2 linked regions of the Struthio camelus genome follow. The protein of the gene in region 2 purifies or fractionates together with the protein of the main gene of each other region. This does not show direct contact. Links are inferred from orthologs where the notes say so. Each region holds a gene or a part of one and is shown on either strand. Other genes may lie near its edges. The genes, in order: FBXW11 and LPIN2.

Region 1 (15,731 bases), on a different chromosome or scaffold from region 2:
TGGGATGTTAATATGCAGGTTTTCAGAACAGACAGTTTCAAAGCATACAGTTCTGCTACCTTTGCCACGTACACGCTCTAAAGCATTTTATTGCCATTATTATTTGCCTTTTTCCTGACTCAGGATGTTCTGACTTCCCTTAACTACCAGCAGCACAAAGATGGAACCTTCAAGACACTTATGATCTGAATGATAGCAAAATTCAATAAAGTTTCAGCATCGTTGTGCCTCTGAAAAAATCTGGAAATAGGAGAGAGTAAGATAAGGCATGCTATTCTTGACTGAGATGAGAAAAATCATCCCTTACTCTCTGATCAAGATGAAAAAGGACTTCACGCAGTGCTTTCAAAGTAACTTTAAAAGTAACACCTAAGAGAAGATGGAGCCTGCAGAAAGCTCATACTGTGCATCTAACAGAACTAGTTATGGAAGCATACCCTAAAGAGGCTAGACTGTGAGCCGTTAAAAAGTTTGACATTCAGCCTAAAAAATATCTTCCCCTAACAACAGCCAGAAACAGCATCATTCTCTCAAACATAACGCTGCAATATCCATAGAAGAATACGCTACCTCCTTCTCTCACACGCTCCCTTTCCTCACCAGCCTCTCCTGAAAATGAATCAAGCATTTCTTTAGCCTCCACAGCAGTGCCCCATGTATCAAAACGCAAGCAGCTTGGAGAAGGATGGAAGAAACTGCCACTATTCGCAGCTGGGCCAAGTAATTGTGTCGATGAGTACATACGTCCGTGACTGTCCAGAGCTACCTCAAGAAAGGAATATCTACGTTACGTGCTAATTTTCTGCTTATCAACGGTAAATTAATAGTCTATTACAGAACAACATTTCAAGGACAAAGCAGCACTTGAGTTCGATGATATGTCCAATCTATGGTTTATAAGGCTGCCAAGTAAAGCGGTAAGATGTTAAGGCATATGACTCAGAAGCATAAGACCACAATACAGCTCAGTAACAAGACCACTATCAAAGTTACATAAACGTACTGATTTGCTGAGTAACAACAGAGCCAGCGGGATGTCAGGAGATGCACTTCACCATGAAGGCATTCGTTAAAAGTTATTTGGTACTGTTACAACACAGATCTGATTTTTCTCTTGAGAAGTAGTGGAGTGATGGAGGCTACTTGAATATCAAGTTTCCCTGATTAGTCGTTTGCTGCCCAGATAGAATTTCTTAAAAGTATCTCTATCAAATACAAGGTGTAATTGTAAGTTAGTAATTTTTGCACCGGATAGATTCTGAAGATTTCTGAAGCTGTAAATGTTTTTGTTTGAAGACTTTAAATCAGCAGGACTTAAAAGGCTAAAAGCTTTGAACAAAGCGTCATCAGGCGAGCCATCTTGACATCAAACGTGCGCCTCAAGAAGAGACAAATAGAAGTTGTCGCAACTTATTTTGCACCAGAATTCAATATGCAAGAATTCTTCAACAAAGCTAAACTCAAAACAGCCACATAGTTTGTAAGACTGAATATATAATTGTCTTTCTTCTCTAAATCACTGAATCAACAAAATTTTAAAACTATGCCACAGCTAAAAATTGACCCCCACAGCTGTTACCATTTTACACAGAAAGCGCATTGGTCTCTATTCCTAGCAACAGGTGCCTACCTGTGTCTTACGATTTACATCTCTATTTGCACAAAATGCACCCGGGAAGCTGGACTACTCTTTGAGCCCCAGTGAAAACTTCAGTATCTCAGGGTAGGTAGAAGAACAGGGATGCAACTTCCTGAGGGGCCCTAGAGTAACAGAGCAGGGAAGAAACAATAAGCCTTCAAACGCTCCCATTGTTAATTTAGCCTTGCATTAGAAGCAAATTAAGTTTCCAAAAAGAGTCAGTGTTCTTTGTTAGTAAAACACAAAAGGCACTGGGTTACTTTTGCAATATCTGATCTTCGTCACGCACTACTCGTACTGGGAAGCGTGTGGAAAGTAGTACAGGAAAATGGAGTAGACTGTCAAACGTCACACCGTTGAGACCGAAATATACCTTTGAACTAAGGAAGGAAGGGATTTTCCAGAAAAAGGGGATTTTCCTTGAACAATGAAGTGCTATCAATACCACGAAAATCGAACTGAAAAAAAATCAGATTATATAACAACAGTGGCATTGAGCTTAAGAAAACATCACCGAAGAAAAAAGCTGGAATGTAAGTGTGTTATTAATCAGCATTAGTTTAAATCATTCCATAAATATTGCCATTTCTCTTCAATTTATTTTCTCCTTTATAAAATAAATATAAGACTTGCCACAGAGCAGCACTCTTATAACCATCGTCTCTTATTCTCTCCCACACATCATTCTTCTCGTTGGCACATTTGCTGCAACATCCATTTCATTTCGAACCCATAAAGCTTGCACTACTGCACAAGCACTCAAAGCAGCAGAGCAAGATCTAAGATGAAACTGAAAATGCCAAAGCAACAATGACCTCTACACTCTACAGCAATAAAATGTAACGCATCAAAAGACATACATCAAGTTGATTTGACAAGCAGTGAAGGTGTTTTAGAAAACACACGTGAAATGAAAAGGTACATCCATCCTTCAAATAACATTCCCCGGTCTCTCTAAGGGTACAGCTTATTATAAGTCAGGTTAGTTTACTCTGATAAGGTGCTGGTGCAATGCTTATCAGTGACCCAAATTTTCAGCAACATTCAACAGCTCTGCTTAAGGGATAAACAATCAGCATGGTCTGAAATGCAGAAATGGCATATGCATATGTAAAATGCATATTTTACAACTTTTTAAAGGAGCAACCCAGTAGCATTTTAGAGAGGTCAGCTGGTGTGCATACCAGTGTGCCTGCAGAGATGTGATTTCATTCCACACTGACACCTGTACACTCGATTTACAAACTTAATTCAGGACCTTACAGTCCCAAACCAGAGTTCACAGGCAACATATTGCCCTGAAAACTATCCAGCAGTGCTCACAAACTCAGGAAGTTAATGTGTATCTTTCCGGGAACAAGATGACTTTGCTGTATCTTACTTGCTCAGCATCGTTGCAAAGGCTGGAAAAAATAATAATTTGAGAAAACTTAACTGAACTGTGAGGCAAAAAAAATCTCAGTATCTCAAACAAGATTTAAAAAGCCTTGGGTGAAACACCAATCTTTCATCTCCCGGAGAAACCATAAGTTTCCTACATTAAGCAACTAAAAGCAATTTGGTTTCAGAATTTTCCCTCCAAATGGAACGTCTGCAGTTTTCTTTCATCTGTATAAACTGAAGGCTGCTGCCATAATAATCACAAGTCAGCATTTGAGATCATTTTTAATTTGTAACCTCTGTTCTACATCTTTGTATTCTCCATGTCCCTTCTCAGTCCCATTTTCTCACTCATGCTCTTTCTATTATTTCATCTAACCCTTCCCCAAAAGACAGCTTTCCGCAATTCTTTGTCCACTTCCCTCATTTTATCATCATTCTGCTGGCTCAGAACCGAGTTGTCTAGTTGAATTCGTTTTCTTAAGGTCTTCCTTCCCGTTTTCTGCACCGCTGCCAAAGTCATGGCAATCCATTCTCTTTATATCCTCATCCTTCCTCTTACAGGCGCTCTTTGAAACGTGACTGTCAACCTGACAGTCCCTGTCGCTGCGCAGATCTTGCATCCCGTGCCCCACAGGCTCTCCCGTACCTTCCAAACGGACAATCTAACCCTCACCTCTTTACAGACCCACTCTAGTCATTTCGCCTTTTTCCCTTTTGCATGAAACTATCCAGCATCCTAATGGCTGCACATTTACACATCTGACATGCAGCTCTCAGCTCTGCCACTTTAGCAGCTGAAGGTTAGAAAAGATAACTGCAAAACCAATAGTTTGCTATCCTGCTGCGAGAAAGCACAACTAGCTAACATACAGGTTTCCAAACATCTTGCTAGTTTTCCATCTACTCTCGGGCTCTAAGAACTATTGACAAAACACAGTCATATTTAAGCTAGAATAGTACCTCCCTTGTTTCAGATGCCAATATGATCATTGTTTAAGTCCATCTGTATCTCTATAACTAGAAAAGTAAACTCTTTGAAGGATTACTCTAAGAACATTTGGGGAAAAAAAGTAGCTGCCTGCTTGGTTAGCAACGACTGAGACAGAGAAGAAAAAAGTCAAAATGTTTTAGCGCTACTGAGATATATACAGCAGTTATAGTCTTAGTTTCTAAGCAGAACACTAAGACTTATTTTGCACTATAACGCTTTAAATAGTTTGGGGACAAAACAATCTTCACTTGCAGTAACCCAAGGAACTTCAGGTACTACTGGCACGATTTACTGAAGAAGTTGCTGCTCGTAAGGCATTTATATGTGGAACACTTTATTCTGAGATTGTTACCTTTTGAATCTGAAGACCCTCAGCTCACACCAAAGTTCTACCAAGAGAAGCAAAGAATTCTGGTAAGATACTCAGTTACAGTTCTTTGTTTATTGTTTACAAAGGGGCACTGCAACACTTGACACTTTCACAAGGGACAGGTGTTCTAGAGAGTAAATGTAATATGTTAGGAAGAATGTTTTCCATGTGTGTGTGTGTGTGTGTAAAAAAACTTTAAAATATAAGTTACAATACCACATCAACAAGCGCTTGTCAGTTTTATTCCGAGGCATGGTCTTCCCATAACCCTTTCATGCTACTACCACTGAGCAGTATTATATTCAATTCAAACTGCCAGCTCTGCAGCACAGGGATCTATGTTTGTAGAACAGCATGCACATCAAGGACACAGCAGAAAGACAGATGATAATAAGCTCAGTAAATGAGAATATTAACACACACTTGGCTTCCTGCTTCAGTAACCATGTCCGTTAATAGGTGTCTGGTGGGCACAAGAGTCTGAGAGCAAAAGACTTGTTTTTATACTATCCGTATCTCATGCTGCACAGTTCATCCCATAAACACGTACCTTTTTATCCTGTTTGTAAGAACTACATTTTCCTTACTTACGTATTCATTCACAACCACATTAGCACAAACTAAGATGCTAATAGTCCCCTACTTTAAAAGCCTGCTGGTAAAACAAATGTACGGTTCAGTGAATCTTTCTAATAGTGAAAAACACAAGGTTTTTACCAAGCATTCAAGACAAATATGAATAATGGGTTGGATGCAACTGAATATTATAGATTTACTCCACAATCCAGAATTTGTAGGTAAAAAACAAAACAAAACATTTTTCGCAAATCATTTTTGTTGGTGCTTCACCTTAAAAAAAAAAAAAGTTTGATTCTTTAAAAGAGTAAAAAGGTTGCAGTTACCCAATTTCACAAAGAAAATCCAAATCAGGGAAAGAAACAGCCTTTTCAATCATTTCAGCTGGTCCTCCATCTGTTCTGGATTACTTCATTACTACTAGCTTTCTAATAATTTGTCCACTCATACAAAGCATTTAACCAAAACTATGTAAGTACTAAGATATCTAAACTAATGACAATCCTGTCGGAGAAACTGTTAGTGTAAACATATACCTCCTGCAGTCAACATGCACGTTAAACTTCTAGGCCTCGCACTTCCTGAAATCACTTTTACAGGCAAAGGGTATCTTGCCTATAGAGATAGAAATCATCAGCAAATGAAAGCCATGAAGTGTCATAACTAGATCAATTGCTCATCACCAAAGATTAAAACCCTGACAACATTAAAAAGGCTAGATGACATGACTTACAAAACCAGAAGATATCCAAAATCTTAAGCTGTCCTAAAAGACACAGCGACTTCAGAGCACAAGCTGAAACTTCATACGGCAAATGAAAGTTGCCACTTTGAAACCTTAAAATATTTCACTCAGATTCCAGCTAAAAATAGAACAGTTTTATTTCCATCACTGATTCTTCTTTAAATAAATGCAAGTGATCTATCCAGTTAAGGAACAGCTCACAGCCAGAAGATCACGTTCTGAAACTCTTGTGTAATTAACATGTTGACACATTATCTCTTGTTTATCAGTAACTGAGAATTGTATTCTATTTGCTCCTCAGAACTTTTGCATCATTCATTTGCACCTGTATATGCTAGATATTCATCCTTGGCATTGGGAGGAAGTGATCGAGTACCAAAAGTGCATAAAATACAATCTCCTGTATCAAAGAGGCATAAAAACATCCTGCTTTTAGTAAACAAACACTTGTACCTTCTTTCTTGCAAAAGGATTCTTAAACACAACAGCACTCAAGTCTTGCCTGTTAAGCTCATCCCTGGTTTAGGGAGATTTGTCACTATCATTAACAACTGATATCACAGTTTGTATACGATATTGAAATCACTCTATCGATACTACTTCGCTTTCTGCTTTGTTTATTTAAACAAATCTTCCAGAAAATCTCATCTTCTACAACACGTAAGAGTGCAAAACCTTCTCGGGTCACGTCTTCATTTATGAAGTTCAGTGGAACATTTAAAATAAACTCAAGCGTTTCTATGCAAGCCTTCACTAAGAAGAAAATTAAATTCAACTACTAGCTACATTTTTACTGAGTATCATTTCCTACGGGAAAATTACAAAATTCATTATTCATCCTATGAAAATTTTATATTTATGAATTTATCATGAGAGAGGTAAAAATGTTTCTTAAACCTCCTTCTATAGAACACACACCATCTTAGTAACTCCAGTATTTGTCTTTATGTTAACACATTCTCCAGGATTAGCTGTAAACAGAGGGTACAGTTATCAGTAGTCAAAAGTTATATTTGCTTCTGTTTGTTAGCAATATGGTCAGAAATAGAACGGACTTCTAAAATCGGAGAGTGGTTACAAAAAGACAAGCAAGAAAGTTGTAGGAGGCAAACGTACCCTCCAGCCTTCAAATTCTATTTTAGCACCTCCTATAACCCACGGCCGAAGAGCATTAGTAACCCTCCATTACAGGAAGGAAAAAAGCCACTAGAACTCACTTTACACAATTAAAAATGTTACAGACATCTTTTCTGTAAATGACTTGTTCTGTAACAGACACCTTCACAGATATCACCAGTCATTATTCTTAATGCTGCAGTCCGCTAATATGTGAACAGTTCTGATGTCACCAACATTTAGTGCAAGATCATTAAATCAATAGGGATCAAGAAAGCAGGTTCATTAAGAGCAGCTTTTAACCTAGAACTCTCAGTGATCGGAAACAAACATGAAAGGACTATCTTTTTTTTTTTTTTTAAATCTTTTTTATTATTACTATTTTTGCTTCTTGATAGAACATAACCTTCCAAGAAAGTTCAAGTTTTTCAGATAAGGTAGTTCAGCAAAAACTATACTGACTGAAAAGCCCATCTCACGTCTTGCCTGAACTCAGCACACCTTCGGAGTGCCTTAAAAGCAATACGAGAATTTTACCGTCCAGTTCTGCAGTACTGCATGGAATTGCGTATGTAATAGTAAATTATGCTTATGACAAATAAACCAGCAGAAGATGTTTTTGTGATTATCCTTACTAGTTTCCAAACTTAATTCTCTTCTTCCTTGAAGACAGCTAACTACACTCTCCTTTAATATTTGGCTAGAAATATAAATTCTCCCTACGTTTAAAAAAAAAAAAAAAAAGCTTCCTCATTCTTCCGCTTCCAGTTGGCCACCTCTCCACTAACCTGAATTTAGCGGCATAAACGCTAATTACAGGCTATAACAAACACACCAATTAGGTTTAGTTAGATAATACTGCGTTTGCTGCATTGAGCCTTTCGTGAAAGCTCCGCTACCGGAGCTGCTGCTGGAAAACATACGTTCGCCCAGCGCAGGCTCACTCCGCTGTCCCCCAAACAGCCGCCTAAGCAAGAACGCCTGCTGAAGAGCCTAAAACCTTCCGGCTGGAAGTTTTATTTTAAAAAATAAAGGCGGGGGGGGGGGGGGGGAAGCAGCAGCAGCAGGGCCGCGGCAGCCGCCCGCGCCCTGCACCCTCGCCGGCAGGACGGGCCGGGCCGGGCCGGGCGCCGCAGGGCCGCGCAGCCCGGGCAGCGGCAGCGGGCGCACCGGCGCCGCCGCGGCGCTTCCGCTCCAGCGTGGGGAGCGCGGCCGCGTCTCCCCCCGGCACCGGCCTCCGTTTTATTTTTAATTTTGGTTTTTTTTATTCTTTTCTCTTTTTTTCCGCCTCTCTCCGTGGAAGTGCCCTGGGGCAGCGGGCTGCAGCGGCCGGGGCCGCCGCCGGCGGGGCGGGCAGGGCTGGGGCGGCGCGGCCGCGCCGTGTCACCTCCGCGGCGCGGGGGGGAGGGGGAGGGGGGACCCGGGCCCGGCGGCGGAGCCCGCGGGGCGCCGCCGGGCCGGGCCGGGCCGGGCCTGCGGCGGGGCGGGGGCGGCGCGGCGCGGGGCCGGGGGGGCACTCACCATCAGCTCGATGGTCTTGTCCTCGATCACCGAGTCGGGCTCCATAGCGGCGGGCAGCTCCGCCGAGGCGCCGCCTCCCTCCCCCCCCCGCGCCCCGCCAGGCCCCGCCGCGGGCCGCCGCCGCCGCTGCCGCTCGCGCCGTCCGGCCCTCCCCCTACCCGACGCACGCACGCACGCACGCACCGCTACGGCGCCCGTAGCGTCACGGCGCCCGGAAGTGGAAAGGCGCTGCCCGCCGCAGCCCCCCCTTATCACGGCCGCGCCGGGAGAACTACAACTCCCAGCGGCCCCCGCGGCGCCGCCGCGGCTGCAGGGCACGCCGGGAACTGCCCCTCTCCGCCGGCGGCGGCCGCCGGGCCGGGCCCGCAGGCCGCGGTGGGGCTGCCGCCGGCGAGCGGCGCCGGGGGCCTCGTCCGGGGGGACCTCGGCGACGGCCCGGCCCGGCCCGCAGCGCGCCTCAGCCCTGAGCCTGGCCCGGCCCGCGGCTGCGCGCTCGGGCGGCCGAGGAGCGCCAGGCCCAGGCCTGGCACAGCGTTGCGCAGTGCCCCGGCGTCGCGTTCGCGTCTGGATAACTATTAGTAGTAACGTTTCCGCAAAGGCGGCCGTCTCGTTGGGTAACTGTTACAAGCCCTTACGTGACTTGAGGGTTTCCCCTCCCTGCTAGCGCTGGGTAATAGCCGCTTAGTCCGCGCTGACAGCTGGAAAAAAATCAGAAGCGGTTCGAGCATGTAGCAGTACCGTGAGAAATAGTTATATAAGAGACCACCTCTCTTTCCCGGGTGTAACAGGTAAGGAGGCGTTGCTTGCCACAGCAAGAGTCGTCAGCGTGCTCTAAATCAAGCCTGTAGCGAGTTTCAGGGTACTTGTGTTTGAACCTAAGGTTGGGGAAGGAGCCTTCCTTTGCTTAAAATGCTGTTGGTGCTCAAGTATTGTTTTTACGTTTTCCCCCATAAAAACAACAAATTTGCAGAACGTTATCTGTGGGATGTTTTACAGAACCTCTGAGACAGGAAACTGTGTGCATTTTTTCCAGTAGCGTTAGGAAATGAAACTAGAAGCCTTGAAAAACATCAGCTCCTGAAGACAAAATCTGCTTAACTGAGAAGGTGTGATGCTATAGAGAGTCACGTGTCAATCTTGCAACGCTATTTAGTAAGTCCGTCTCGTCGTGCACCTCAGGGCTTGCACTGCTGGCGACTCTCAGTCAGGCAATAGCGTCAGAGCTTTTACGAGTGGAGGACCTAGTGCTGTTTTTATTGCCACTTCAGCTTCTCAGTGGCTATCTCTGTGCAGTATGAAGATCAAAGCAGTCATGGATATACTTAAATGGTATTATTTACTGAATGCTGATGGACAGCCTGCACTGCGTTGGAAAAACAAACAGACAGCCCTCTTGCCATTAGAAAACTCGCAGTCTAGGTTAGATGTAGGCAGAAAGGGCTGAATGCACAAGTTTGAAGAGAAGAAGCACACATGCCCCGTATTTGTAAGGAAACATGGAAACGCTTGGATAAGGTGGTCGCACGTGCATTTCCGTCTAACTAATTGCAGCCTGCGCTCTTAGCAACGAGCTGCTTTTTCAGCAGCCAAACCTCTAGGGTCTGTCTCCTGTTCGCAGGCTGTCTGCTTGCAGACATCCTCTGTGGACGCTGGCACAGCGAGGTGGGCTGGCAGATGCAGCCTGGGCTGCAGGGGGGCAGCCAGAGTGGCGGTGAGGCTCGGGACGGGAACAGCGACAATGAGATCTCAGGTGCTTTGGGTTGCCAAGGTCACACAGGCTGCAAACTGATGACGCATCAGCGACCGAATGCATTTGTAGGCATTGAAAACTAGAGGCAAAAATGTCATAAGCAGCAATCTGGTATAACAGCATAGCACTAGTACTATACACCTGGGATGAAAATAGACTCAGCAGCTTTCATCCCAAGCTTTTCCCTCCACCCCAGCCGAGGTGCCTGCTTAACCACTTCAAAATTTAATTAAGAGATGGAGCATGAACATTGAAATGGCACAAGGTCCTTCCCTACTGAAATGCATCCTGCTTGACAGTACATTGGTGTCAACAGAAATGTATTTTATTCATAAAAATGTTAGAAGCATACTAATGAGGTCGTCACTCCTTTCACAGAATTGAAAAATGTAATTCAAGACCAGTAGATCTCCCTCGCCCTAAACAACTGCCACTGCTCAATATCTTGGGGAGGAAAGTGAAAATTTGATATGCCCTAGAAGCTGCGACATTTACGTTCTAGACCAAGTGAATGCCAAACTTGCAGCCGTCACTGGACACTGGCCCAAAAGTCCCTCCAATTGATACTGCAAAGCCCCAGCTCGTGCACCATCGCTCATGTCAGCTTAAGCAGCGTAAGCACCCGCTAACCCTTATCCAGACATGCTCCTTTTCCACGTGAAAAAGGTATGAGGGCTTTCTCCATCAAACCTGGAAGCTCAGACTGACAGCTGAGCTGAATTCTTTCCACTTTTACATCACTACCTATAACTAAGGACTTGCAGGTCAAATTATACTCGCAGTGTTGCGTGTTATATAACTCCATTGACCTCTGCAAGTTTATAAAGGTGTCACTGAGAATCTGCTTCCAACGCACATGGTGGAACAAAATCCAGCTTGCTTTTTGCGTGCGTGGTCTCTCGCACTCACTCGCGCGCTCGCTCTCTCTCTCTCTCTCTCTCTCTCTCTCTCTCTCTCTCTCTTAATTTGTTCACTCTGGGGAGCAAACAAGCCAACAGATATTTGTTTGTGCCACCAAAGTAAAAAATCAGCATGTCTAGTCCTAAATATACACAGGGCACAGATTTGCTGAGCAAGACGATGCCATTTTACATAGCCATTTTCCAAAGTTCAGCTGTACATTCAGGCTAGTTTCCTGAACGTGAACAATTACAGTATTGTCCAAGTCATATGAAAAGAAACAAACAGAAGAGGCAAAAATTGCTCCGTTTATTTGAAGCAAAAGTAAGCTTTAGTCTAATACTGACAATCTGCATGTGAGTGTGGTTAGTGCATTACCACAGCAAACACTACAGAAATATGGACAGTTCTTTGAAACTGTGGCATAAGATGTCAGTTGGAACTTGAGTAAAGAACTACATTTTTTTAGTCATACTGACAGAAAAAAAACAATTGCTATAATATACAAGAAAACTGTGAAGAATGTTGAAAAATAATTAAGGGAAGCATTAAACAGCTAGAAAAGCAAGACCAGATGATACAGTGTTCTGCAAACTAAAGCCAGATTGTTTCTGAGCAACTTGTGATTATTAACAGGAGCCGGTCCAGACTGAAAAACTTGTCCAAGGGACTGTGTAATAAGATGGATGAAGAACCAGATTTTTGATAAATTTAGTCTGAGATACAAAAAGATTCTATTGAAACACTTGCTTATGATAAAGTCAAAGTGCTTTGTTTCTAATAATATATTAATTCTGTCACTACAATAATCTGAGGAACATGCCTGCATGCATGTGTGCTCTAAATTCTGGTTCACATGACACCCTATCAATACATCCTCAGTATATGTGTAACTCGCTATTTGCTGACAGATCTGTGTCACGGATCTGCAGATCAGCAAACCAGCAGCAAAGCTAGTCATTAAACTTTAATGATGACCTTATTCAGGTGGAAGCACAACACGGTGGTGGGTTAGTTTCAGCCTAAGAGAACCAGTTCTGCCAGTTTTTCAGCGAGGATGGGGAAGTGGAAGTGGGAAAGCCCCAGCCCCAGAGCGAGGCAACCAAAGGTACCTTCACGTCGTGCAACAGGACAAGACGTTTTGGACAGGACTGAGAGTCAGCAGAGCGTGCTTTTACATTTGGAAGATCCTGTTTAACTCCGGTATCAGCTAAGGTTGAAGGAAGGTGATTTGGAGGAGGAAGAAAGGTTTCCTCCCTCATTAGGGACGTCATTAACTCAAGGGAGAGGTGTCTAGACTTCTCGGGGGACTGTGCTGCAGGCTCATTCCCTCTCCCCAGAGTGCTAAGACAAAGCAAAGAAATAAGCATATACATCTTATATGTGTTAATTAAGGTAGGTGTAATCCTAAAGATATCTAAGCAAAGGTCACCATGCGTTAAAAACCCAGGAAACCTTAGCGAGCACGCCAAGTGCCAAGGCCTTTCTGCCTGGGAGCCGCAGACGGGTGTACCTGAGCAGCTGCGAATTGCAGGGAGCAGCGCTGCCCCGAAAGCCCTGGGCGCCTGAGCCACCGCGCGTCCCGTCGAGGCGGGGGACAGGCTGCCTGGCCCCGGCCCGGCCCCACGTTGCAGCGTTTCAGCTGGGCTGAAACAACACGCTGCGACCTCTTTTAAGCCCATGATTTTTTTACAGCAGCTCAGACGTTCACTCCGTTACATACTGATTCGCTCTACCCGCGGCTGCCTCGCCGCCGAGCCCCGGCCGGCCGCGCTCGCGCGAGGTGTTTTCTCACCGGTCGGCCCCGGCCTCTCCTCGCGCACCGCCAGACCGGGTCGCGCTGCCGCGGGCCGACATCACACGGGCGGGCGCCCTGGTTTTAACATGCCCTCTTGTGCCAGGAGCCCCACGATGGCCCAGAGGCCCTGCCGAGCGCCTGAGCGCTGGAGCAAGAGGCCGGCTAGCGCTTGCGTGCTGAGAAGCAGAGCTCTCTGGGAGAGGGGAAACAAATTTTAGGAGCTAGAGTAGAGAAACATAGCTAGAACGTGACCCAGTTGTTCAGTCTCCAAATCTTCTCTAATGTGATTTACTTCCAAGCCTGTCTCAGTTTTCTGCAAGGTCTCGTTCTTTGGCCACCAGTAGCCCCGTCGCAGGGTAATCATCCTTTCCGCTTTGCCCGTCTTTCACGGCTCCCACTTGATTATAAACACGCACAGCGCCATGATAAAAGGCAGAAGGTCTAACACAGGTGCCTCCCAGACAGGTTTCCCGGGACCCGAAGGGAAGGAAGGAGGGACCTGCCGGTGCCGAGCTGCCCCCGGTCACGCTGCAGCCACTGGAAGGACGCAGCAAGGCTGCAGGCAGGTTTGCCTCACACCAGGGAGGAGATGAAAAAAAAGTAAGAAACATGGTGGCAAAAATACTAACTCTGGGATTTTCTATGGAGCCGCTCGGCGCTAAATGCTCACATGAAATTCGGTGGGTGTAGCTTTCCTAAACTTGGGATTGCCTGCTTGAAACCCCCAGCCTAACATATTCTACTCACTAAAACCTCGGTCTCGTGATCTTGTGACTGTTTATTTGGCCGCTCGGATAGGGATCAGAGATCACTCAATGGCCAGGAACAAGTCACAGTGCAGGAGAGCAAGGGCAGATGCATTTCAAATGCTCCTGTTGGAAAAATAATTACTTAACGTACAGCTGGAAAGAGCAGGTTAGAAACAAGCGCTCTTGTTAGGGCAGGGACGAAAGTACGCCTGAAATATGAAAACGTTTATTCCTACTTCAAAGAAACACTTGGTATCCAAACAGCGATGGCACCAGGTTTGATGATTTCTTAAAGAAGCGGGAAAACCATGAACGGATTTCTGACTCTTCTTACACGTGCCGCAGAGCAGAGGCTGCGGGGAGAGCCGCCGCGCCTCTCGACGCGCAAAGCAGCTGCCTTCCTCCAAGGGGCAGTTCATAGCGCAGAGGCAGGGATGCATCCGGCCCGGGGACGGGGCACAGAGGACTATTCGTGAGCAACGAGGGAAAAAACAAATCGGCGCGAAGCCCCGAAACCCTTTGGGCGAAGGAGGAGGGCCCGGCGCGCGGGGGCTCGGGCCGCTCTCCGCCAGGGCGGCAGGGACGCGGGGCGCCCCGGCTCCCCGCGCGTCGGGTCCCTTGGCGTGTTTCGGCTACTTAAGAAGTTAAAACGTATTTTCGTCTTGTTCTGGATGGAGAGAACGAAAACCACGAACAGGAGAGAAAACATCACAGGTTTGAGCGCCCAGACGGCGGGTGCTGGGCGCCGGCACGCGAGGTCTCACCGACGTTTCAGGTGCGGCCTGCCCCCAGGTAGGTTCGCCCTCCCCTCGCCCGGTCTGCCGGCCTCCCTTTTGCTCTCGCGTCACCGTTTGAAAACAGAACTAAACCTTCTTCGCTCAAAACCAGCCTGATGGTATCGATAGCAGGAGAGGTTATAACGTAGCCCCGGGGCACGGTAACGATGCCGTTGCCATTAGCTGACCCAAGGCCTAAGGACGTGGCTTGGCTTCGGCTTGTTTTACCTTGGTTTTTACTGTAACAGCGTCGTGTCCAGTGGCCAAATGACCATTGTCTGAGTCGTCCTAGCTGGCTCGTCGCAAAGCTGGCTCACGTCGCCTGAGTGACCTCTAACTTCTTGCTTTTAGCTTTGGTTTAGCTTTGTGCAGTTGGGCGGCCGTTACCCTGAAGAATCAGATCGTATAGGGCGAAGGTCTAGCAAAACTAAGTCGCCGTAAGATGACCGCGTTTGCAATTGCCAATCAGCGAGAAAGAAGAGGGGGCCGCCGGGAAGGCGGGCGGCTGGCAGAGGGTCTGCGTGCGACAGGGCTGTATTTTGAGTAGACTGTTGAAACATTGGTTGAACTGGCAAGAAATTTTTGCCTCTGCGTCTTAAGACGCGTCTCCTGTTTATCCTCGATAAAGGTTGAAACCTAAGTGCAAGGCAGCAGCTCCTGCGTCTGAAAGCCTTTGCTCTCCATCCCATACCCTGAGAAGTGCCATTTCTGGTGGCCTGCCACTAGTAAGACCACCAATAACCGATCGGGAGAAGGCGCTAAAGACAGGACGGGACTTGCATCGCGCCGCCGCGTCCTTCGGGCCAGCCTCCCACCGAAGCGGAGCAGCGCGAGGCTCTGAGCAGCTCAGAGCTTCCCGGCTAACGGGAACGCGAGAACAAAAGCGATTCCCACGCAAGGTCTTTATTCGTAGCACCAGGGCAGCGTTGGATTAAACCACCTATTGGTTTTGTCAGTGAAAGAAAAAGCCCCAGCCCCTTTGTGGGCCTTAATCTGAATCTATTTTCAGGGTGGTTTTTTTTCCCCCACTTGTTAAAGCCCTGCAGGCTTTGCAAAGGATTACTGCTCTGGCGCTCCTCTCGCACCCCTGCAGCCCGAGCTCCAGTCCAGCGGACTCGCTGTCCGTCCCGGGTGACACAACCTGGGCTAAACGCAGCCTTTTTCGAACCCCCGCCGAGCAAAACAAGGGCAAAGCAGTGGAAGGCCAGCACCCCTCCCGTTAGGGCCGGAAACCAAGAGAATCAGATTTTTCTCAGATGAAGGACGAGGAAAGGATCGGCACTTCTTTCCGAGGCTTGGCTGTACTTTTACGTGCTTATAGCAGCTCTTTGGCTTGCGCTGGAGCTCGTATCCTGGCGTGGAGGTGGGCGCTGGACAGTGCAAAAGGGCAGGAGAATAATTTGCGCTTCACTTGAAT
Region 2 (15,755 bases):
CCAATTTACTCCTTGAACACGTGATTACTAAGGCCAACACAAGGGGGAGGGCAGGACAACCCTTTTTGGTAGTGCCACAGTCTTAGACTGGCCTGAACTGGACAAGGAATTTTATCACATTAACTTTCAAATAAGCCCATAAGTGAATGAAGTTTAATTCAGGTTTTTATTTGCTTGTGAATATTAACAAGTGCATTTTACAGTGCATATCGACATTAGAGTTAATAAGGAGTAATACTTATAATAGGTCACCAACTGTTAAGACACGCTCTATTTGTCCCCCAGACATGCCAAAAATAGTTGCTTACAACATGAGAGGTCATTTACATGAAATGAAGCATTTCCTTCCCAGCATATCTGAACTAAGTAAAATAGCCATGTAAACATTTTAAGATTGTGGAGTCTATAAACTTGTATTACTCTTTTTTCATAGCTTAAGAGCTAACAAAGCTTTTCTTTTGCAGTACTTTTTTTTGCAGAGCCCTTAAATTACCACAGGAAGTTCTGTATTGTACTCCAAAATTATCGTTCTTCAGAGCTTATATGAGCAACTGCTCTTTCCTTATCAGTCTGCTAACTGGATATGCAGGGAGTGCAGAAGATGTGGCCAGGGGTGGGGGGGGAAGGAATGCACTGGTATTCAAAGTTTTGTTTCAGTCCACTTTCTGAGCTTACCACTTTTTCCTTAGAGCGCAAGACCCCAAGCTTCCCAAATCGGACGTGAAAAGGAGAACACTGGTACGTGCCATCCTGCTGTCGGACCACAATGACATCAATGCATCCTGAAAGAGTAGCCTGATTGATGCCTTTGTACAGCTCCTTCACAGTAACCAGGACTTGACCTGCAAGTTGTCCCACGTAGTTCATAGTCTGAGACTATGAGAGAGGAAGAAAAAAAAAATACTATTTTTTAAAATCAAAGTAAACATACATCATCATTTAATATGTCTGCTTATTGTAACAGCCTTAACACAAACATCTTCAGAAGTGGACAGCATTTTGAGCCAATTCTCATATTATTAACAGTCTTCAGAGCTATAAAATATGTTCTTAATCATATGCTCAAGTAAATCATAACAAGCTATCATTATTTCAATATTTTAAAGTAAATCTTAAAGTATGTATTGTTTAAATCCCATAGGCCTAGATTCAAGTAATGCTTAATTCCTCATGTAAGCTAAAAAGACCAATTCACTTTATGAACACTGCCTATTATTTAGTACAACTGATCTTCTGCTGAAATTAGAGGTCTGATGTACCTGTACATCAGAATGAAAAAAATCTAAGCATCAGGAAACGTTTCTGTAGAATTCCTCTATATGTAACTCTTCCTTTACAGATCTGTATTTTAAAAACTGCTGCACCATCATAAATAAATTATCAAAAGATTTAATGGGAGACAGAAGCTGCCAGAAGACTGGGCAGAATGAGTGAGTGTGGGGGGAAAAAAAACAGATGGAATAAATCTTTTTTTCTTCCCTTATGCAAGTAGAGTACACCACCACTGAATGTATTTCATCAACAAACAAGTACTAAAAACTTCTTGCAACATAAAATCATGAACTTGTCAAAGCCTTCTTGTAAAGAACTACCACCCATCTTCAGCAGTTAAAACTAAGACGAATAAGACTTCTACCTGTGGTAGAAGATGCCAGATAATCAAAGTTACTGAGACTCTTCCATTAGCTTTAGATTAAAGTAAAATTACAATAAAATTACAATTGTAACTATACAATTATCATGTATAGTTACAATGTATACAGCTTCAAGAAGCTTATATGTGTATTTAAAGCAGCTGTTGAAGTACAGTTTGCTCAGAGAAAATATAGCACATCTAGCAGTATCAGGACCTTGTCCTGAACACTCTTCTCATCTATGAGAAGCAAACATTGACCTAGTAGCTAGCAACCACCACTATTTCTACAGAAATTATATACAAAAAATAAGCACTAAGTTTTAAATACTACATTTTCATATACGAAAAGCAAGTCCTAGTCAAGTTTACTCACTCATGCGATACATTATTTTAAATATAAAGAGTTATCTTATCCACTAACTACTTTCCACAGGTTTCACAAAGTTTCAGTCAAGTGAGAACAAATTTTTACAATATCTGCTGCTGTTCATACTCTCTGACAGCAGGAAAATTGACAAGAACAACAGGTAGTCTAGATGAAGAAGTCCATATTAGACAAGAGTGGAGAGTATAGTAGAGAATTCAAGAGAAGGAAGATACACAGAAAGATTATGCTATAGTCAAACACTAGACAGAAAAGAGAAATGCAAAGATGAAGAACACATACAACCACTTATCAAATATTCTGTCTAAGCCATTACAATACTTAAGTGGCATTTTGAATAATTTAGTCATTTCAGACTAAGAACAGTGTGAATCGTGACAGCCAAGAAGAAATGAAGCCCAAAGATTTCTCTTCTTTCTATTAAAGCTCAGATGTTTTGAGAAAAAACAACGAAGGTGTTCTAATGGGAAGTACCCAGGGAGGCTGGAAGTGCAGCTCTTCCTCATTCTACCCTTCTGCCAAAAGACTGCTACAACTTCATTTCAAATATATTCAAGCACCTACATGACTCTGAAGTTAAGGGCATTATTCGGAAGAACAATGAGCCACTGCAGACAAGCAAAACACATAGCACCAAACATATAAATAGGCTTAAATTGTAAAAATTTAATTTTAGTATAATATTTCTACAAATAAGCTTACAGTGAATTTCTTTGTCTATATACTCATTTATTTCTATTAGACTCTGAACAGGGTTTCAAATTCAATTCAAGACCGTGATTAGGATTTTTCTTAGTGGTTCTAAAGACTACTGCGTATTGCACTGCAAGAGTTCTTCCTCCTGATACAGTTTTCATCATCTAGGTAATTACACAATTTTTTCAGTTCTGAGCTTTCAAAGTCTTCTTGCAGTAGCACAGGGTGTATTGCAGTCATTCAGAAGTTTGGCTTTTTGTAGCAGCTGATGGTGCCAATATAATTGTAAATATGCAGGAGATTGAGCCAGCTCTAGAAGTATTTTTCTCCACCTCAGGCTTCTCAAGGCTAACATACGTTACCTAATCACATACATATTTTGAAAAAAGTTCCTACCTTTCTACAAGGTTTTAAAGGGAAGGTGAGGGCTTGCCTATCCAGATTTAAACCTCTTTTGAAATTATGCACAGAACTACTAGGCTAGTTAACATGCTAGAGAGTTTTTCTCCAGCAGTTTTTCTACAGTATAGTTGATGAAGGCAAAAAGAATAGGCTATCGGAGAGTGACTAATGAGATTAGCTGCATGGACTCCCTAACAACATAGATTAGCAAGTAATAAAATTCAGTTTCATCTCTAAGCAGTTTTATGTACAACTACAAAACTGACTGCTTGCTAGCAGAGATGTTTTGAGTTGAAATAATAGCTCACTCTTGCCAAAAAGGGAAGGCCCCACTTCATCCCTTCCTCATCACACCCTTTTAATGAGCTGATTTTAGCTCACTGACACAGCTGACAGAAGATTACCCATGTTTTTCTTTCAGTAGGTTAGTAAATTAGATCAGCTCACAGACAAGGTGGTGTCAAACACCAGACAGTTGTGAGGCATGCTGCAGCACCAGAGAGCTGGAAGAAAAGGCTGCAGCAAGGAACAGAATATCTTCCTTTTGATAAGTGAGCTATTATTTGCTGCATCATATGGAACTGTAACCCGAGACAGAAAAGCAGCAATATCTCTGTTTTACTGTTTAAACAATTATTTCTCCTCTACGCCCACAGCCAAACCATATTTTAAGTTAAGGGGAAAATTCTGATGCACAGTCTATTGTGATTCATGGCTACACTTTGACCACTTCCAGTGAGACTCTTATTGTATTGGTTTACCCAAATAAGTTGATTTCAAGATGCCAAGGAGACTGAAATTGCTACAAGAAATGTTTGGCACAATTAGGAACAGGAGTTCTTAATAGAGACTCTATTCTATATATTTCATTTCAGTGAACAGGACTTGAAAAGTGGACATTAGCAAGACATTTTCTATCATTTCAGTAGCAAGTATTTAAAGGATTGGAACAACATAACAGCAGCTAAGAACTGAGTTCAGTTGATAAAAACTCTACATTTCCTCAAAGATGTGGTAACTGACCTTGCCTGACCACAGCAAACCACCCCAAAAAATTCACAGGACCGAAAACATTCAGTTGGTATATATATACACATACTCCTTTTCCAGTAAGGAAAGTCATTTCTTTAAAAGATCTCAGTTACATTTGTTTAACCTACAGCAAAACCACTTTTATGATCATACATAAATAATACAACCTCTCTGTATGAAAAATATGAACCTGTTAAGTATTAAAAATGAGAGTTATAAAGAAAGGAGCTTTTTTATAACCTAAGTTTTACAAGAAAGTATTGTCTTGTACACTGTCAGTAAATAAAATTCTAAATTGGACACTAATTTATACTATTGCCTATCAGGTTGTAGTTTTACTTTTTGTTGTATTATTAATTTATAGAGAAGGATTTAGATATTATCACCAGAATCACAAAGATTTCCCACTTTTCCGTAGTGAAGGCACTACCAGAAAAAAGGTGTGGGGACAAAAGGACCAAATACATGCTGAATACATCAGAAGTGGTGGTACTTTAGTAGCGTTGGGATGGAAGTGATCCAAAAGTCACCTAGATAGATCCTTTGTGCAAAATAATGCTTACAAAGCATCTTCCAGAAATAAGCAGCTCTCTAGCCCTACAGAAAAACAACATTCTAGCCACAGAGCAGTTATAATTGAAAATCACTACGTGCAAAGGCAGAGCCACGGAGGAAAAAAAAAAAAAAAGCTACATCAGAACTTAAAAGGTTTTATCCACCTTTATTGATACACATGTTCCCATTCAAAAACAATAAAAACTGCAAGACGATGACTATAATAAAAGTTCAACTCTTAACATAATTGTTGAGTTTGTGTGATAAAACATTCGCTACTTAGAAAGGTCCAAATTGTTGCAAGCAAATGTTCAATTACAAGTAAAACATCAATACATAACTTGAGAAAGATGAAATGTTACATTTAGCTGAAATGTCAAGAGAAGCCCTGCTAGGAGACTTTGGAGTTTTGCTTTAAGTTTTATTGCATATTGTTGGAAAGCTTGAAGCGCGTGGTGCAGAAATTGACTAAAAATAGCAACAATATAACATATCATTGGTTTAATTCTTGCAAAGGTGATAGAAATAACTCAGATCGCAGATTAAGAGGCAAGGCAAAGAATTTCCTAGAAAATTCTCCCTTAGTTATTTCAGGATTTAAAAAAAAATTGTTAAAAATGTCATTGTTCTGAAAGCAGAGAGAAGCTGATAGCAATTTACCTTCATAACCTGCTACAAGAACCTAAAAAGCATGCCAATTTCCAGTTCTGCAATTCAAGATAGAAGTCTGATGGAAAAGACAAGTTAAGCCAATGCTATTTAGCTTTTAAATTTTATTTATTTTGATATCCAGAGTATACACATTACCTGATGCAGTCAAATTCCAGAACTCTGGGTAAAAGCTAAAATTGAGTTAGCTCAGTACTATTTATTCTTGTTGGATAGCAAATCAAAAAACCAAGCAATAGCTAAGAACTCCAAGCAGAAAAAAACAGTTTTTGTGACTTTGGGGGCATCAGAGATTGATTTTTGAATGTTTAAGCTATATTTCCTGGTTTACAAGATGAATATACTAATATGACTAAGATAAGTGCAACTGTAAGTGGGAAGGAGGAAAAGACATCTCTGAAAGACGCTAACCTATATCACGAAGAAAAATTTTTTTCTAGCAAGAAGCCATTACGCAGCAAAAGATAGAAACTGAAACTTTTGTTTTCTTGAGAATATAAAAGTAAATACAAACTACGGAAAGAAAATATTTACTCTGGAAGTTCAAAAGCAAAAAATAAAATTGTGTGTCTCCATCTATAAAATACTCAAATCAGTCTAACTAAAATTAACTCTGCATATGTTTGTTGACTTCTCATGCTGTAAGATGAGTTTCTGACTAGCTCTCAGAAACAACGATTAAACACTACTACAGCTCAGATTGAGCATCTAACGTATTCTATACAATAGATACCAAATTAAATTTTCAAAACCAGTCACCAGGAAATGCTCATGCTTGTATAACTTGAGATGAAGGTTTTGTGGAGAGGGATTTTCTCCACACAATATTAAGCAAAGACAGTTACTTTTGGCTACTACAAAACCAATGTGTTTTCTTGAATAATTTATTTTACATCCTTTGGGAATACCCACGTGCAGGCACACAACAGTCAAAAGACCGTCCACAAACTTGCATTTTCTGTGCATTTGGAACACTGCTTTAACAAAGGTAAACAGTTTTCTTTTTTTCATTCTGAAAGCCAACATGCTTGATACAGGTGTACCATTCTAACTTAATCGGTCTCCAATAACTGACTGTAGTGCCTCGTACTGATCACTACAAATGCCTGGCTCAACAACATTAAAAAAAGAGTAGTGCATATTACTCATAGGCAAGCCATCAGATGTTTTTACTGTACAAAGAAACACTTTTAGTGGGTATGAATTTCCACTGTCTCTGTGAAAAAGTTACTTAAACATAGAACTTAACGTACAATAGAGTATCAATATATCCAATTTATTTTGGGTTGCATTTAGAGGATTAAAAGGTAGTCTAATACCACATGATGTAAATAGTGAAGTTGCATTTGTTTTAAGAGATCAGGTAGAAAGGCAAAACAAAAATCAAACCTTGATTTTCCTCTATTTATCTTTTCTTGCCTATATTTCTATGTGTATGTATTTATGAGGAACGAGCTTTGCTTAACCAGAGAAAAGTTTATATTAAGCATTTTACTAATCTTTGTTTTGTTGCCTAAAATTACCGGAGGAAAAAAAATGAACATATAAAACAGGACCACTGTAGCACCAAGACTACTTGTAAAAACAAACATACGCAACAGCCCCCCCGCCCCACAAGACAAAGACAGCTTCGCTCTTAAGTAAAGATTTTAACTGTGGTTTAGGATTGCTCCTAGCACTGCACACAGCACTTACAGAACAAAAACGGGAAACCAAGCAAGTCTGCTAAATACTGAATTCAAGTTTTTCCATGTAGTATTAAGTACAGTCAGCAGATTGTTAAACATTTTAATTATGTTATAGGGAATGATATACCCATACTTAACAATAAATACATCAAACTCACCAAGATTCCAGAAGGAACCTTTTCATGGGCAGCAAAAACACCTCCACTGAAGTCATCTTCAAAATCATACATCTCCGAGAAATGCATCTCAAACCCCAGCAAACTAACTTTCCATAGTACAGGTAAATGCAAAGCTTACAGCCATAACATAATGTTGTATCAGCATTTCTTCTCTTTTCATAGAAGCAGAAGAGTTAGGTAAATCTTCTGGTCTGTAGTCTCTTAGAGAGAAATGTTTGGTATGCTTTCTCACATAGGGTTATGATTAAAAAGGAAGTGCTTCTTTAAGAAAACTCACATAGAAACTCCTTCACCAATAGACTTTGCTTGAAATGTCACAGCCCCCTTGCACTCTCCAAGATAAGTAATAACATGGACAGACTTTACCATATGTCTGCACTGATAGGTAATGATCTTGGATATACACTAAGTCACATGACTCTGGGTGAAGCTTACCCCGGATTTAGTTAATGATTCTTAAGCCATGTCTACATTAGCTCACTGGGAGACTTTTCACACCACTGTTACAACTTCATCACCTGTAGCAACATTGGAAGTTCTTGTTCAGCAGCACACAGAATTAAAGAACGCCAGCTGCCACTCTGTGCTCCCTACTGCCTCTGCTGATGGTTTCACTAAGTTAGCTTTGCAAATTTCATGGGACAAATCTGACTGTTTGGGACTGTTCAAGGTTTGGTATTTGTGAAAATTGGGGCTTTTTTTTTTTTTAAACTGTTCCAACGCTATTTTAAAAGGAGAAAGTGATAACTATTCTGGTGCGAAGTTCATACTGAAAACACACAAAAATAAGGTACATCAAAATAATCATTTTTTTCCGTGGAAGTTTTCCTACTTAACTCAAATTGTTAATGTAGTATAATTTGGGTGTGCAGACAATGCACACAGGTTTATTGTATACCCAGCTCCATGACTGAGAATAAAAATTCATTTTTAATCTGAGGAATTTTAAAAGAGCATTACTTTTCTAAATAATACCATGGCTGTGAAATAATTGAGGAAGCACAGTATTATAAAGAAATAGTTCTACCACTGAAATCTAGGAACGGGAGACATATCCACTGAGAATCATTCGCTGAGGAAATACTGTATTTCCTCAACGCAGACGCATTCTTTCACAGTTCTTCCATTAAACACATGCATCTTCCCCACTAACACCTGTGCTATTTCGGATCTGCTATAGAAGACTGTGGAGGTCTACTTCTTGAATTAGAAATGAAAATAGCCTGTCTAGGATTCTGCTGACCCCTTCACTCTAACCTTCTCTAAGAAGTTTTGTTAACAGATACTTTAAACTCTGCTGCAGGGACAATGAATCACTTATTGGATGCAACTAAATGGCTTCTAGATTTCTAAAATAATACAAGGACTATACCCAAGACCAAAACTAAATCAATTTTGGTGACAGACTCCTAAACAGAGTGTTGGGTTTGCTACATATGCAGTAAGATTACAATAAACTGCTGCTGCTACTGGGAGCTTTCCTTACGTATTGAACAACTTTACATTTAATGTGGCTCTTTGCAGGAAAAGTTACTGGTTTCATTAGCAAAGATGTGATGTACGCTCATAAGATATTAAGAATAACTATAACACTCAATTTTCCTCTGCTTGTTCACCATTCTTGACTATATCACGTGTTCCATTAAAATACGGGAAGAAGGGAAGTTTATGAGCAGAGTGAAAACCAGCTTTGTAAGATACTGATTCTTTTCAAACACTTTGACTTACCTTTTATTTTTCATGTACAATTTTCTGTCATACCTACTATATTTTAAAATTATTCAGTATTTCAGATTGGCATTAATTTCTTCAAAGTTTCTAAAAATGCTTTCAAAGACAGTCTTTCCGGAATACAAGTAAAACTGCAATAACAGCATTAATTTCTCAGCACCAGCAGTAAGATAAGATTTAGACAGGTAATAAGTTTTGCACACTTAATAAACCTCCTTGGCTTTTATTTCTCAATATTAATAAGCTAAATAAAAACAAACTTAATCGGGGGGGGGATTACATTTTAAGTGCTACACTATTAATTTACAAGTTAAACAGGAAAATTAGCTTCAGTTTTCAAAAGTAAATACTGCAAATTTAGAAAGTATTAGAAGTAACATTTTCCACGCAACCTTAGTTCAGCTTTTTGGTACAGGCAGAATTTACTGTGGTTTAGCCCCAGATGAAAGGGGACACTGCTGACAGAGATCAGTTAACATCCTATGTTCTCTTGACTGCTCTCTGTGGGGATACACACCTTATCTCATTGCACGTTAGTCAAAAACCCTGATACAAAGTATGATTTCATTTTTAAATGGTATTTTTCTATGGTAACCTTCAAAATATACTGGAGTGCATTCATTTCTTTTTACAGCATCCCAGAGAAACGTGGCACTATTTTTTTTTTCCTACCCAGTGGAGAACTCTGGCCAAGAATTAAAAATACCTATTTTATTTTAGCACAGTTAAAACATGACCTTCCACAGCTTCCTTGCATTCTATACCTTGTTATATATTCAAAATATTGCTTCCATAGGCTTCCTTTTAGCTGCAAATCAGATTTACATACCGCAGTTGACCATTACCTCCAAAGATATATAAAATTGCCTGTGAAAATTTCATTTAAGTGATTTGATTGTACTGTATAGGAACTGCAGAAGAACTGTGGCCAGAACACGGCTACAGGATGTCTTTCCCCAGCTTTCATCTCTGTACCTCCTTCTAAGTAGGAAGCAGGAACCCTACAGATATCAGCTTCTATCCGTACACAATCGCAATTCACTCACAGATTGGGGTAAATTTGCTATGAATGAGATAAATCTATCTTTCTATAATTAATAAATCAAAATACATAAACAAGCATAGGACATCCTCCATCCCACTTTTCACTAAACTATTGTCCAAATGAATGCTTTAACAAAGTGGTGGTTTTTTTCCCCCCTTCTTTGAAGCCTAGGAATTTTCTCAAGAGAGAGGATGATTACTTCGATACTACCTACATCTTCAAGAGGCCTTGAATCTTTGGATGTACCACAACGACCCCTATCATCTGAGTTAAAACGGACAACTGGCATAGGCTGTTATTCTCCACACCAGCCAGAGACATTCAGCAAATACCTGATTTCTGCTAGCAAAAGGAGCAAGTGAGAATCTCAGGATCCCAAGATTCATTACAGACAGGGGAGCGAGTACACATACTATCTGTTCCATTGTACTCATTCATCAAGCTTGAGGATATTGTGTCTACTCTTTACCCTTGGCTCCCTCTCTCATTCTACCCCTCAACGTCAGGCTTCCTTGCTCAGAAGATCCTAGTTACTTTGACAGGCTCTATATCCCATTTGTCTTCTTCACTCCATCCTACTCCAAAACCTTTTCCTTTCCGTATCAACTAACTCTAAAGCACCCCAGTTCAGTCCCATACCTCATACCGTCACTGGAAAAGGACTTTTCTCCCCAAACCCCAACTTTGAACCCTATATCCATCACACTTCTTTGTTTTCAGTCATAGTCTGATTTTCAAAATATATAAAGAAGAATCAGGCACTTTACAACTTTGTTTAGAGACAGACAGGACTAGTGCATGAAAGCAAATAAATTCTTGCATCCAAGTTCTTGATGTTAGCCCTGACCTGAAGCATCTGCCTACTGAAACTGGAAATAAATCTCTGGTCTGTCCATCTGGGGATAAAACACATTCAATGCAACATCTTTGTTGCAGTTAACTGCAAAGGTCTATCCATACCCATCATGGGCTTTTACGCCTGTTTCAAAGGCTAATCGCTTTGCTGAATTCAAATAAATTTACACATGAATAACAGAAGACATCCTGAATAAAGACCATCTGTCTCAGATCTCTATGGAGGGGGATACCAGGACTTTTCTAAGAGAAAATAGCTAGAGTTTTTCGTCTAGTATAGAGGACACATACCATCGAGTTTCACCTCTTATAAAAAAAAAAAAGTATATATTTGCTAAAATTCTCCTTATAAAGCCTGAAGATGTCCAATATATAATTATATGGGATGAATTTTTCCATTAGCAAAGTTACATGCAACTAAAAATCAAGTTCTACTCAAAAATGCTGAACAAAATGAATAGGCAGTGTTACCTGCTTCCATCATCATTCCCAGCTTTTAAAAAAACAGATACAAAAATAAAGAAAAAACCCTATCGCAAGTAATTATAACTGCTTGGATTCTTATACCATGCTAACAGATATTAGAGAAACACTACTGATACAAAAGCAATGCACTGCCCTCTAAAGTAGCTGATTAAAATAGAAAAAAAATCAAATTTCTAGTTTTCCATCTGCAAAGCTAGATGGTAAATTCAATCTCTGCAGGATCTTCCATCCAATAAAATCAAGAAGCATTCAGCTAAGAGTATTTTTCAATTCAATGGAAATATTTTTAGATCAGTAAGAAAAAACGCAACAGCAAGAAAAGAAATGCACAGTTTACATGGGCTTTTTGCTTTTGTAATGTTTCACCAGATACATCTGTATGATCTGCTCTGAATCCTCCGATTTCAGTATTAGCACACCTTTGCTTGTTTTAACATGAGACTTTTCTTCAGTCCTTTTAAGTTACTTTTTTGTTTATTAAAAAACTGCAGTGAGAAGAAACAATACTTTGGTAAGGGTCAAAACAATGATTTTATTGATAAAAATGATCAGTTCAACCACGTACACACACACAAAAAAAAAACCCTGAAGTTACATGCACACATAAAGATTTTATGTGCTTGTAATCCTTAACATCCTCCAAGTTACTGAGAAGAACTGGCTACATTAAGACTGCACTCCTTCAGAACCTACATGGGCATATCCCACAGAAGTCTTCTGGCATAGCTTGACAGATAGTTATTTCCAGTAGAACAGACTCTTCTACAGCTACATCATCCTTGGTTGAACTTTCTTCCAGAAATATATAGCAGAAACCAAAGTTTCCAAATATAAACTCCATCTGTCTCATTTTTACATGAGCTGGAAGAAGCAGATGAAGCTTTACTTGTATGTTTCTAAAAAGCACTAAGCAAGTTTCTTGCCATGCACTTCAGGTCTATCTATATTTTCTTCCAATCTCCCAGCATTTGAAAAAAAATAAAAAGGGAAAAGAACACATCTATGCATATTTAAGCATGGAAAACATCCTGAATACTTAGCAGTGAATAATGTGATTACCTTCAGCACGGACATATGAATACAATAATGATATGAGACTAGGACATATCTTCAGGTTGACAAGACACTCTCCAGGAATATACTTATTCTGAGAAACACATATAAGGCATACCCAAGAAGCTCTAAATCCCTAATTTTAATATAGTGCATATAAATAAGAAACCTTTTTTATTTGATAGACTCTCATTATTATTTGAATTGCTGCATATGTACCAAATAGAAAAAAAAATTCACAAATTTAATCTGCGTATAAGACTGCTATTTTATTAGAAAATGAGGCAAAAATGCTAGGCTTTCAGAATTCCTACACAAACGTGTTGATAGCATTGAGATACTGGAATGGGGTAAATTAGATACAGCTGAGCAAAGCAGCATATGCTTCCTCATTCACAAGGGGAAAGCTATTTGTATTACTGATCAAGTTTTAATGAACATAAAGGTCATGTCTCTCTGAAAGATATGTCTCCTCACCCTTAGCATATGGTAACATGTCTGTATCATCCATAACAGGTCACTACAAATCTGTAAAGCCGATTCCTTATGTCTGCTAACATGCATATTTTTTACAGAGAGAATGAAAGGCATTAAGGCACCACTCAGATATTTTTTTAAAATCACTATGCTTCAGTTAGTATATCAAACTAAATTCTATCATTAGTTAAGTGAGAGAGTATGTATTCCATTTATAATGGAATCTCAGTTATGACTTCATTATTTGAAGCATTTCTTTGCAAGAACCTTGGTAAGTGACTCTTTGCATATTTCCTTCAAAAGGCCTTTGATAACGGTCAACCCAGGACAAGTACATTTCCTGTGAAGACAGTTATGCAGTCTAAAAAGACTGGTAAGTCTAAAGACACAGCCTACAATTGGCTTAGCACGTGCTGACTTGGGACCCAGCAACAGGACAAGAGGCAATGGGCAGAAACTGAACCACAGGAAGTTCCACCTAAACCTGAGAAAAAATTTCTTCACTGGGAGGGTGACAGAGCATTGGAACAGGTTGCCCAGAGAGGCAGTGGAGTCTCCTTCACTGGGGATATTCAAAACCCGTCTGGATGTGATCCGGGGAAATATGCTCTAGAGGACGCTGCTTGAGCAGGGGGATTGGACTAGATGATCTCCAGAGGTCCCTTCCAACCTAAACCATTCTGTGATTCTGTGATTCTTCGACTTCAGCCACCCAGACTAACATGATGCACTGGAGACTTTTCTATTATTACTTACAATATTTTAAATCTCTGGTCTTGAACTTAAGAATGTTGAATAAAGAAAGGGATTAATTTCTTAGTTAAAATTCTTATCCCTGCACTAAGTACAGATGGCAGCAATAAGGAGGTCTCCGTTAGTTTTGGAAAAAGCACTAAATGACTCAAGACAACTTCTGGTAGTTACTGCAGGTAACATTACTGCAAAGCTGAAAAACTGATAACAATAAAATACTTTACCAGGAAGGAGAAGCTTACTTCAAAATTCCCTTGAGGTACAAACACAAGAAAATATTAAATTTCTGTGCTTCCCTTTAAGATTTTTTTAAAAGAAATATTCATCAACCTCCATCCTCCCGCCCCAAGAAGGGTACTTGAGCTCAGTCCCCAAAGACTGAGCTATTCTGACTTGACATGACCCTTTCAGATCAAAACAGTCTGGATACATAAGCAGAAATGTAAGCACTGATGTTACTAAGTATAAGAATGTCTGTAACAACCCAGATGAGAGGATAGCAAGGCAAAATAAAAACTCATTTTTAAATGAAACAATCTTTGCAATGGCAGATACATTTTTACTATGCTGGAATGGCATAATTCTAGTTACAATTTCTTAATTCTCTGATACCTGCTTAACTGAGATATTTACAGAGGTGATCTTTGTATTGTTGTAAAATCTTAAAATACAACTTTAATGAGATCAAAGTTGCATAGAGTAAGTACTCCTGACTAGCGCTGCTAGATGTAAGAATCATTGGGATATAGTATGTTACATGCAGCACTTTTGAGTATGAATATATTCTGAGAATGAATATATTCTGAGAATTTGCCCAATACTGGATGAACACATCTAACACATATGGTTTAGACTAGCATCTGATCATAAACATATCACCCACTATTTTGTATAAATTCAACAGCTTTTCAATGTAGACGCCCTTTAATATGGGGTACTGAATCCAACACCAGAAGCTGTTCTTTTATGCCCTTCAGACTGTTATGCATAATGTATTTGCAATTCATGATATAAACAATGATTAAAAATTATTTTTATATAAGCCAAAGCTATTTTGCCAAAAAAATAAAAAAAAATATATAAATGTTCTAATTTAGCACAGATATTCTATGATCACACACAGAGACCTTCAAGAGCTGTCTCTCCATTTTCCCCACGTTTTGATTCTGCGCTTAAAACTTAAAAGATGGAAAAAGAAGAAAATTCCGATCTGGAGTATTAACCATGAGAAAATCTTTCAGGAAAAGAGGAAGATATTCAGCTAACTTAACCTCTCGCTTTGACAAAGGTTTCCCACGAAGCTTTGAACAAAATACTTATTTCTGCTGCCAGTAACTTTACCTGCTCTAATTAGATTGCAAGTTCTCTGGGACAGAGACAAGAGTCAAAAATCACGTAATGCAAAGAAGGTCCACTGCCTGGTGTTTCTAGCCCTTAAGATAAATAAGGGGATGTCAAGCGCAACAAGTGCAGTTTATACTTTGCCATACTTGATCAAGACTTCACAGGAATAAAAAAAAAAAATGCTGGAAGTAGAGAGTGAGGACAAGAAGTTCTCTACACTGTGATACCAGAATGTTTCAAATGTACTTTTTTCTAGTTCATGAAAACAAAGAACTTAACTTTGCAACAATCTGAAACATTAAGTGCTATGAATAAGAAAGACCTAAGTTCATACACCACCTGTATTGGGAGCCACTGAAAAATAAAAGTATTTTGATATGTTTAACCAAAGAGCTATGCTATAAGCTTAACAATTCATGCTGCAATTGCTTACTACAGCCTTTCAGCACTGTTCAGTGAAGAACAGCAGATAATGCAGCATTTCTCTCAAACTCCCTGACATTCTGAGTGACCATGCTCATCTAGAAACAGCAGTTCTAATATTCTACTGTACAACAACAGTACATTACAACAGCAATACGTTTTTAAAGAGCATCTCACAGATCATCCCTTTACTCCACCTAAAGGGTTGTTCTTTGCTTTTTTTTTTTTTTGGTAGGAAGTGGGGAAATTGTTTACATCCATTTATATTCTTCATAGTGCAAATAGAAACTGTGATTACATATGTATATATACAGAGTAACATCAGAATGAACCTCGGCTCTAGTGA

Evidence for each region.
Region 1: the proteins of LPIN2 (region 2) and FBXW11 purify together in Homo sapiens (affinity purification with mass spectrometry; 4 studies listed by BioGRID and IntAct, with this or other methods). This does not show direct contact. The link is inferred for Struthio camelus from reciprocal best matches to the Homo sapiens genes LPIN2 and FBXW11.

The regions. Positions count from the first base shown.
Region 1 is NC_090954.1:20,654,653-20,670,383, forward strand, and holds the start of FBXW11 (F-box/WD repeat-containing protein 11), read right to left. Parts: upstream 8,421-15,731; 5' UTR 8,387-8,420; coding exon 8,342-8,386; intron 1,762-8,341; exon of another isoform or gene 1,631-1,761; intron 1-1,630.
Region 2 is NC_090943.1:118,918,055-118,933,809, reverse strand, and holds the start of LPIN2 (phosphatidate phosphatase LPIN2), read right to left. Parts: upstream 7,647-15,755; 5' UTR 7,309-7,646; coding exon 7,222-7,308; intron 877-7,221; coding exon 676-876; intron 1-675. UniProt on the Homo sapiens protein: Acts as a magnesium-dependent phosphatidate phosphatase enzyme which catalyzes the conversion of phosphatidic acid to diacylglycerol during triglyceride, phosphatidylcholine and phosphatidylethanolamine biosynthesis in the endoplasmic reticulum membrane.